Drosophila melanogaster: one gene and its partner. The protein of the gene in region 1 purifies or fractionates together with the protein of each later gene. This does not show direct contact. Each region holds a gene or a part of one and is shown in the gene's direction. Other genes may lie near its edges. The genes, in order: Mst77F and mil.

The links.
Region 2: the proteins of Mst77F (region 1) and mil purify together in Drosophila melanogaster (affinity purification with western blotting; one study listed by BioGRID). This does not show direct contact.

Annotation. Positions count from the first base shown.
Region 1 is NT_037436.4:20,816,103-20,820,027, reverse strand, and holds Mst77F (Male-specific transcript 77F), read left to right. Parts: upstream 1-2,000; 5' UTR 2,001-2,149; coding exon 2,150-2,431; intron 2,432-2,493; coding exon 2,494-2,859; 3' UTR 2,860-3,127; downstream 3,128-3,925. Other genes in the region: Pka-R1 (protein kinase, cAMP-dependent, regulatory subunit type 1), read right to left, coding at 559-993. UniProt on the Drosophila melanogaster protein: Not known. Encoded in the intron of cAMP-dependent protein kinase regulatory chain type I.
Region 2 is NT_033777.3:27,910,238-27,914,162, forward strand, and holds mil (milkah), read left to right. Parts: upstream 1-2,209; 5' UTR 2,210-2,330; coding exon 2,331-2,563; intron 2,564-2,628; coding exon 2,629-2,752; intron 2,753-2,816; coding exon 2,817-3,045; intron 3,046-3,104; coding exon 3,105-3,190; intron 3,191-3,244; coding exon 3,245-3,424; 3' UTR 3,425-3,548; downstream 3,549-3,925. Other genes in the region: CG5003 (uncharacterized protein), read right to left, coding at 3,801-3,925.

The DNA of each region.
Region 1 (3,925 bases):
TCGAGTTTCAAGTGCAAACTCGACATTTTGTCGCAAAAAGCAGCTCGTGGGGCATTATGAAATGCACTTTCTTTAAATTAGTATATAGTTTAGGTTACTATATTCTACTGTATCCCAAAAATTAACCCCTTTCCATTTACCTTTTTGCAAAAAATAAATTTATAATGTTTAAATAAAATGTGAACATTTTCTTCCTGTTCGTTCTTTTTCTTCAGATACGAAAGATATTTTGAAAGAATTAAAAGGCCTTAACGTAAAACATAGCAAACTTTTTCATATTTTATTAAATTTTTATATTCTAAGTAGGGTATTAGGTGCTCGCGGAATAAGGTAAACATTTTTTTGCATGTTTTTATTTGTGTTAGAACTAACGACATCGTGATTTGTAGTCACAAATCGAATCAACAAGACACCAATTTCAAACGATTCAAAGCTTTCTAGTATGCGCACACTCCCACACTTTAAATCTTTTTTCCGCCAAAAGCTTTTCAGCACAAATTCCTAGTGATTTCCTACTGTTTTCCGGAAATTGGAAACTTTTCCGACTTTCCAACTTACTTCGCGTTCCCGCTGGCGCTCAAGCTCAAGTTCCTGTTCACGTTCGCGGGCCAGAGTGGAGAGATGAATCTGCAGGCTGCGATCGCTGACGGCATCCTCCTCGGGAATTGTGGTGCAGGAGGTGCGAACATGCCGCATGCGATGCACTGCATCCAAGCTCAGCCGATGTTCGTGATCATCGCGGAGCAGAGCATCGAACATGGCCACCCCGCCATCGATGCTACTTTCGCGCAGGATGCGTCCGCCGCGTCCACTGCAATGGGGACTCTGCTGCTGATTCTGCTGATGCTGATGATGATGGTGGGTGGTGGCCACCACGCCCTCCGAAAACGAACGGATGCGCATGGCGCCGTTGGCATCGGTGGTCAAAGCCACCGAGCGGAAGCGATCGATGACCGCATCCTGGATGCTGTTCACACTCAACTGGTTGCCCATGGCGCGCGGAGGCAAACAAATAAAAAGCAAACGAACGGAGTGAACTAGGTGGAAGCAGGATGCTTCTGCACGGCGTCAGGATGCTAATCCAACTGACAGCGGGTCCGGCATTCAACAGGCAACTTGCCCCAGAGAGTCCGGCGCACACACACAGGCGTACTCAAAATCAAAGTTGGGAGAAAAAGGGGTAAGGAAAGTCGCTTGGCAAGTGAGAGGGGGAACAGGACGATGTGGAAAGGACCTCCACAGGTGCGCTGCTCTATTTACATTGCAGCATTGCAAGCTTTTGCTGCAGCCTGTCTCACAAAATAAACTTTAAAGCTTCACAATGAACAGAGGGAATACAGTTCTCCGAAGCAGGAAGCCGAAAATAAAGCATCCGTGCTGGGAAATCCACCTATGGATGGGTTTTTTTTTTAACAATCCGCTCGAAAATAGACCGCAAGTTGTATTGATTTTCGTTTAAGCGGCAGCATTAACCAGCAAAATGCCGCTTGTTGCTTACCAAGTGGTTGAAACCCCGGAAAGGAACGTAGTCGCACAGGATAATTTAAACACCTTCCCTCACCAACGACATTTCTGGTATTTCTTACATATTTTGTTCAGATTATAATATAACATTTAGTATTGCTTTTGTAAAATATTTGTTCATTTCATTTCATTGAAAACAAGGAAGTACGCTATTCTATTTCGTGAATATCAGATACGCGTTACTCAGCTAGTCGGATTGCAAACAGAATATTAAAACCTTTTTCAAGACACACGGACGGACGAATATGGCCAGCTCGACTGATACTGATCAAGAAACATTAAACATTTTCTCCTACAATATCTTGAACGAATATAGTATACAAAAATAACCATGGAAATATGGCGCCGATCTGCGAAATGTACTTTGAAAACAGCCAACTTGGTTTGAAAAAAGGAACTTTTTCTTGATCATAGTAGAATTGAGCCTTCATTCAAATCCAATTTCCAGGTCTCCACGCTGAAGCCAGCATACAAACAGTTAGTACACTACCTTTGAACGAGGAACAACTAAAATATTTCGATAAAATTGAGTACAGTTTTTTATACATATATAATTTTTTTTTGTATAATTCTGAGTAACAAATTTGTTTGTGAAAATTTCTGTCGAGCAAGAATTGGTTGCAAAATGAGTAATCTGAAACAAAAGGATAGCAAGCCGGAGGTGGCAGTAACAAAATCAGTGAAAACCTATAAAAAATCAATTGAATATGTTAATTCCGACGCCTCCGACATTGAAGAAGATATCAATAGGGCAGAGGACGAATACGCCTCATCGTCTGGCTTTGTTAATTTTCTGAGGGACTTTAAGAAGCGCTACGGAGAATATTACTCGAATAACGAGATAAGACGGGCTGCTGAAACCCGATGGAACGAAATGTCATTCCGTCATCGATGCCAGTATTCTGCGGTAAGTTAGGTGTCGAATACAAACGAAATGCACATGTATGCAATCGTAATGCACTTCCGCAGGAACCATTGGACACTTTTCATGTAGAGCCCAACAGTGTGAGCAGTCTTCAGCGTTCTAGTGAGGGCGAGCACAGAATGCACTCTGAAATAAGTGGCTGCGCAGACACTTTCTTCGGTGCCGGTGGCTCCAATAGCTGCACTCCAAGAAAGGAGAACAAGTGTTCCAAGCCCAGGGTGCGGAAGAGTTGCCCCAAACCACGGGCGAAAACCTCGAAGCAACGTCGCAGTTGCGGCAAACCGAAGCCCAAGGGCGCCCGACCCCGGAAGGCATGTCCCCGCCCCAGGAAGAAGATGGAATGCGGCAAGGCGAAGGCAAAGCCAAGGTGTCTTAAGCCCAAGAGCTCCAAGCCCAAGTGCTCGATGTAATCGGAGGTTTCATCTTCCACACCCTTTCCTACACCACTTTTCGGCCATTTTTATTGATCAGGAACCAGTCAAAATTTCCCAAATGATGTAAACAACTTGCGTTGCTAGAATCTATGAACTTGAGGAACCTCCAGTGAACCAGGAAATTAAGAAATCGATCATACGGATCTGATAAACCAAGGACATAACACAGGAAGGCCCAAGCATTGATCCTCAAGGCAACGATAAGCGGTTGTACTGTTTAGAAATAAAGGTTTTATGTCTGATCAAATTTCTACCCATATTTTATCTACCAATATATATGGTATTATTTATAATTTTGGTTTTGGACTCACCCTCTCGAGTTTCTGAAAGTACTGTCGCAGGAACTGCACGGGATTCTCGGGTCTGCAGACGCACAGCTGGACGATGCAGTCCTTGAGGACTCGCTGGATCCCATGCGTCTGGATGTAGTGTTCGCACTCCCGCAGGCTCTGCTCCTCCAGCGTTTTGGCCATCATGTAGGACATGTGGTACGGTGGAGGTGGGATGGATTCCAGAGTGGGTTTGCAATGAATGGCAGTGATGATATGGTGATGGGGAAACAGCTTTCAAGCGCCGCACTACGCAAAATATACGTATGTAGGTATGGATGTATATATTATGTACACAATACGTTTGTGTGGGTGGTTATTGAATGTCGGTTATTGTTTCGCTGGCAAATCGGTTAAAAGCACTGATAATTTAAATCTAAGCCTGCTGCTTTATCAACCCGTTTGCTGTGCACCGCTTTCGCAGCTTTTCCTTGCGTTTTTGGCACCGTTTTGTTCCGTTTTCCACACACACAGCACAACCCCGTTTTCACTTGACAAAATTTACGTTTCCGGACCTCTTTGCAATGTCCTAATGATTAATGCCCTTAGCCCCGCACTCCCCCGCAGCATATGGATTGATCGATGGCTGTCGGAAAGTCAGTTAACTAAGTTATTTTCATAAAACTTAACCAATTTTCACGCACGTCAAACGTTGTTGTTTTTTTTGGGCTGCATGCAGTGGTGAGCGTCTGATATGGTCACGTTCATATCGA
Region 2 (3,925 bases), on another chromosome or scaffold:
TTTAACTAATATCATTTAATGGCAAACACAGCTCTGCACTTTGAGGCATTAGGCGGGGCCAAGTAAAAAACTTTCAACTTCTTTGGCTGAAACTGAAATGCACGGAGAACGGTGGCAACCGACAGCTGCAACTTATTAGATGCGTTGTCTGGTTTATGCAAAACCAAAGGCAACACTGGCCCCTGTCCCTCGGTGCACCAGCCACTCGCGTATCCTAGATCCTGGGAGTTCTGGCCACCACCTAGTTCCATTTAAAATAAGCAAAGCAAACTAACAAAATTCGTTTATGAACGCCATGCTGCCTGCAGCTCAAGGAAAGTTCAACCAAGGTGCAAAATAATTTGTTGCAATCAGCTTAGCCTGGCCAGGATTCCGAGGATGCGATGCCCTTCGCCCGATGCCCGATGCCCGACCAACCAAAAATGGTTAGTGAGTGCCATGCCCTGCCATGGTTGCGTTTCTGGGGCCGGGCAAGTTTTCAATTTAAGTTGAATTATTATGACCTTAATTAACACGTCGTTTCATCATCAAATGCCGCACTACATCTTATGCTTTTGTTGCAGATATTTCGGCATGGCGCCGTTGCTTCAGTTTCAGGAGCAGGTGGAAACGTAGGAGTTCCAGGCTGCCAGGTTGCCTGGCTCGTGGATGAGGATGTTGAGCTCCTGATTCGATTTTCTGCAGACATGCACTTTTGCCAGGAAGGAGCTGAAGCAGGAGCTTTAATCCCTGCGCCAAGTAACTGTTGCTCCGGTTGGTCGGGCTGCGCCAAACCATTCCATTCTGCTGGGCTCTACTAATTTTGGTTTTAATTAAATTCAAACTATGTTGACGCTCCCGGCACTGACGACCTCCGACGAGCGGCAATCACGTGGGTGATGGCCATGGTCCCCATGTTCCTCCAAATGATCCTGATGATGCTGATGATGATGGGGCTGCTCCATTACTTATGTAGCTACATTTTATGCACCGCCTAATTGAATGACCGAAATGTAAATTGAAAATGCCCGAATAGCTTAAATGGTTGTGCACTTGAAGAGTCCTTGATTAGTTGATCTTGATTAGTTCCCAACTATCGATTTCCATCTCATTTGGATTAATACCTAACTATCTTGCATATTCCATTCCTGCTAATGATAATGACGTGAAATATATATACATACCAATTATTTTGCACAGTGCAGGCATACACTCGTACAAATGTGGAAATTGGCCAGCCAGAGCCGTCATCATCAGATGCCTGGCTGCCTTACACTATTTGCGTTATGATTTCTTTTTAATTTCCCAGCGGTATTTAGGGAAAAAATTTAATAATATCAAATATGAGAGCAGCGAGTGGTGGATGTCCTGTGGAGACTGGACAAGTGCATGTGCCGTGTGTCGTGTGTGTTTGTATTTGTGGGCAAACATTCAACAGCGCACAACAATGCGATCTCCCGCTTTTCCCGCTTATCCTCTGCGGCTTTCATTTGGCGGATGTGTGTGTGCGTTGTTGTGTGTGTGTGTGTGTGTCTGGACTTCCGCTTGGCTGAATTTGTTTACACTTTTTTTTCGCCCGCCGCCACTGGCCCACTCATAATTTCATTTTGAAATGTTTGCCTAAGCGACAATTTCACTCTTTTTTTTCACTTTTTTCTGTTGTTTTTCACAGCCGGACATATGGCACTAAGCCTGGCCCACATTATTAAAACCAGCGACAAAAGACAAGCGACTCTCGGATAGACCAGAAACTGGGTCCACGGTCCATTTAACAGACTCCAGGAGGCGATGGCGATGGCGATGGCGATGGCAATGGCTGAACCTGAACCCTTGGCGGCACAGCACTCAGCACGTGATTTGCATACACTTAGGCCAGGCTGGCGGCACCCAGTCCAAGCTTTTGGCCCACACTTAATTACATGCCAAATGAAAAGTTGGCGGAAGCAAACAAAAAATTTTGGGGAAACCAAAAATATATAAACAGGAAAAGAGCAGGAATTAAATGTGCGTTAAATTGCCAATAAACATGGCCTGCATCTCAATGGGCAAAGTAAGGCGAAAGGGGTGACTAAAACAGCAATAACACGAGGGTTTAAAAATGTAGCTTAAAAAAAAAGAATAATAAATTGCTTAATATTTTCTAGTACATCTAGTTAGTTCCAGCACTTTAGTGAAAAGCGGGCCTTGCCTTTTGTGCTGGGAGTTTTGGGAAACTGATAGAGCTACTTTTCATTCCCACAACGGCAGTCACAGCGAAAACGCACACGTCCAAATTTTATACTTGAACAAAACCAAATCACTTCAAGAAATATTTTTTTTATTTTTCTTTTGATTATCGTGTCGAAACATAAATGGAAACTGTGCGAAATCGAAACCCTCCGCGGATGAAGTACACCGCTCCACCGAAGATGGAATCGGATTTAAACTTCACCGAGAAGGAGAAGAAAACTCTTACCGAACTGAAGCAGCTCTATTTGGAGACCATTAACCTGGATGTGGCTCTGCAGCGCGACATTTACAATATCGAGAAGAAGTACGAGGATAAGCACAATATCATATTTGATAAGCGCAAGAAGATTCTAGAGTAAGTCCATTAATGGTGTTTGGTTAAACAAGATCTCAATTCCCCCAAAAATCCCATCGGTGCAGTGAGTTTAGAAAGCAAAACCACGGCGACGTGGAAACCAATCAGAGCGTGCCCAACTTTTGGCTGAGGGTTCTCAAAGCATCGTACACCGAGTTCATCAGCAAGAGGGATGAGAAAATATTAGAGGTATGTTATGGATAGATCCGATTTGAAGGATATTTAAATTTTAATTGAAATTTTTCCCGCGCAGTGCTTAAGCGACATCCGTTCTCGGCTGTACAACGAACCCGTGGTGAAGTTTGATATCGAATTCCACTTCGATCCCAATGATTACTTTACCAACACGGTGCTGACCAAGACATATTTCCTCAACTGCCTGCCGGATCCAGACGATCCGCTCGCATATGATGGCGCCGAGATCTACAAGTGCGAAGGCTGCGTCATCGACTGGAAGCAGACCAAGGACCAGACCAAAACCGGTAAGCCATCTGGGAGCATCAAATTTCACAGATGTTAGTTGAATTCACTCATTGACCAGAAAATCAAGAGCCGTCGTTCTTTGAGTTCTTCTCGCCGCCGCTTTTGCCAGAAGATACCCTTGACCCCAACTACTGTGACGTCAATGTAAGATTGAATATCAGCGATCTGCGATCCTTTCACATGCATCTCCTCCCACAGGCTATGCTGCAAAACGATTTTGAGGTGGGCTTCTATCTAAAGGAGCGCGTGATTCCCAAGGCGGTGATCTTCTTCACCGGCGAGATTGCCGATTGTCAGAGCTCCAGCGGATCGGAGACCGAGTCGGAAGATACCGAGGACGAGTCGGATGCCGAAGAGGAGGATGGCGTCGACAAGTAAACATTTTACACCGCTTATATACAGTTTACATACATTTTTAACTCGAGTCACCGAACTATTGGCCTGTCCTTACCCACTACATACCAACCAAATAAACATTTCATTATACATATTTACCAAAAGGATCTCGCGCGCTCTTTTTAATGCCTAGCTAAAGGAATTGAATTGTGGTTTTGATTTATACAGTGCGTTTAGCCTGGCGTGTATATATTACAAGGACTCGAATAGTCAAACGTAATACTAGATGGCTGAGCTACAGCACTCGCTTGTAGCCAGCGTTGTGGATCCATCGGCTTGGCCATGTCGTCTTTTTTCTTAAAAAAAAATAAAATAATCCAGCACGGCCCACTTCGACGGAATCTTTACAAACAATATTCTAAGGAGCCACCACCTCCTGTGGCGGTGGCGATTTCGGTGGCTGCTCGTCGTCGGCGCGCGGCGGTGGCTGCAGCATCACCACCACCGTGTCATCCTCTTCCTGTGTCTCCAGCTCCGGAAGTC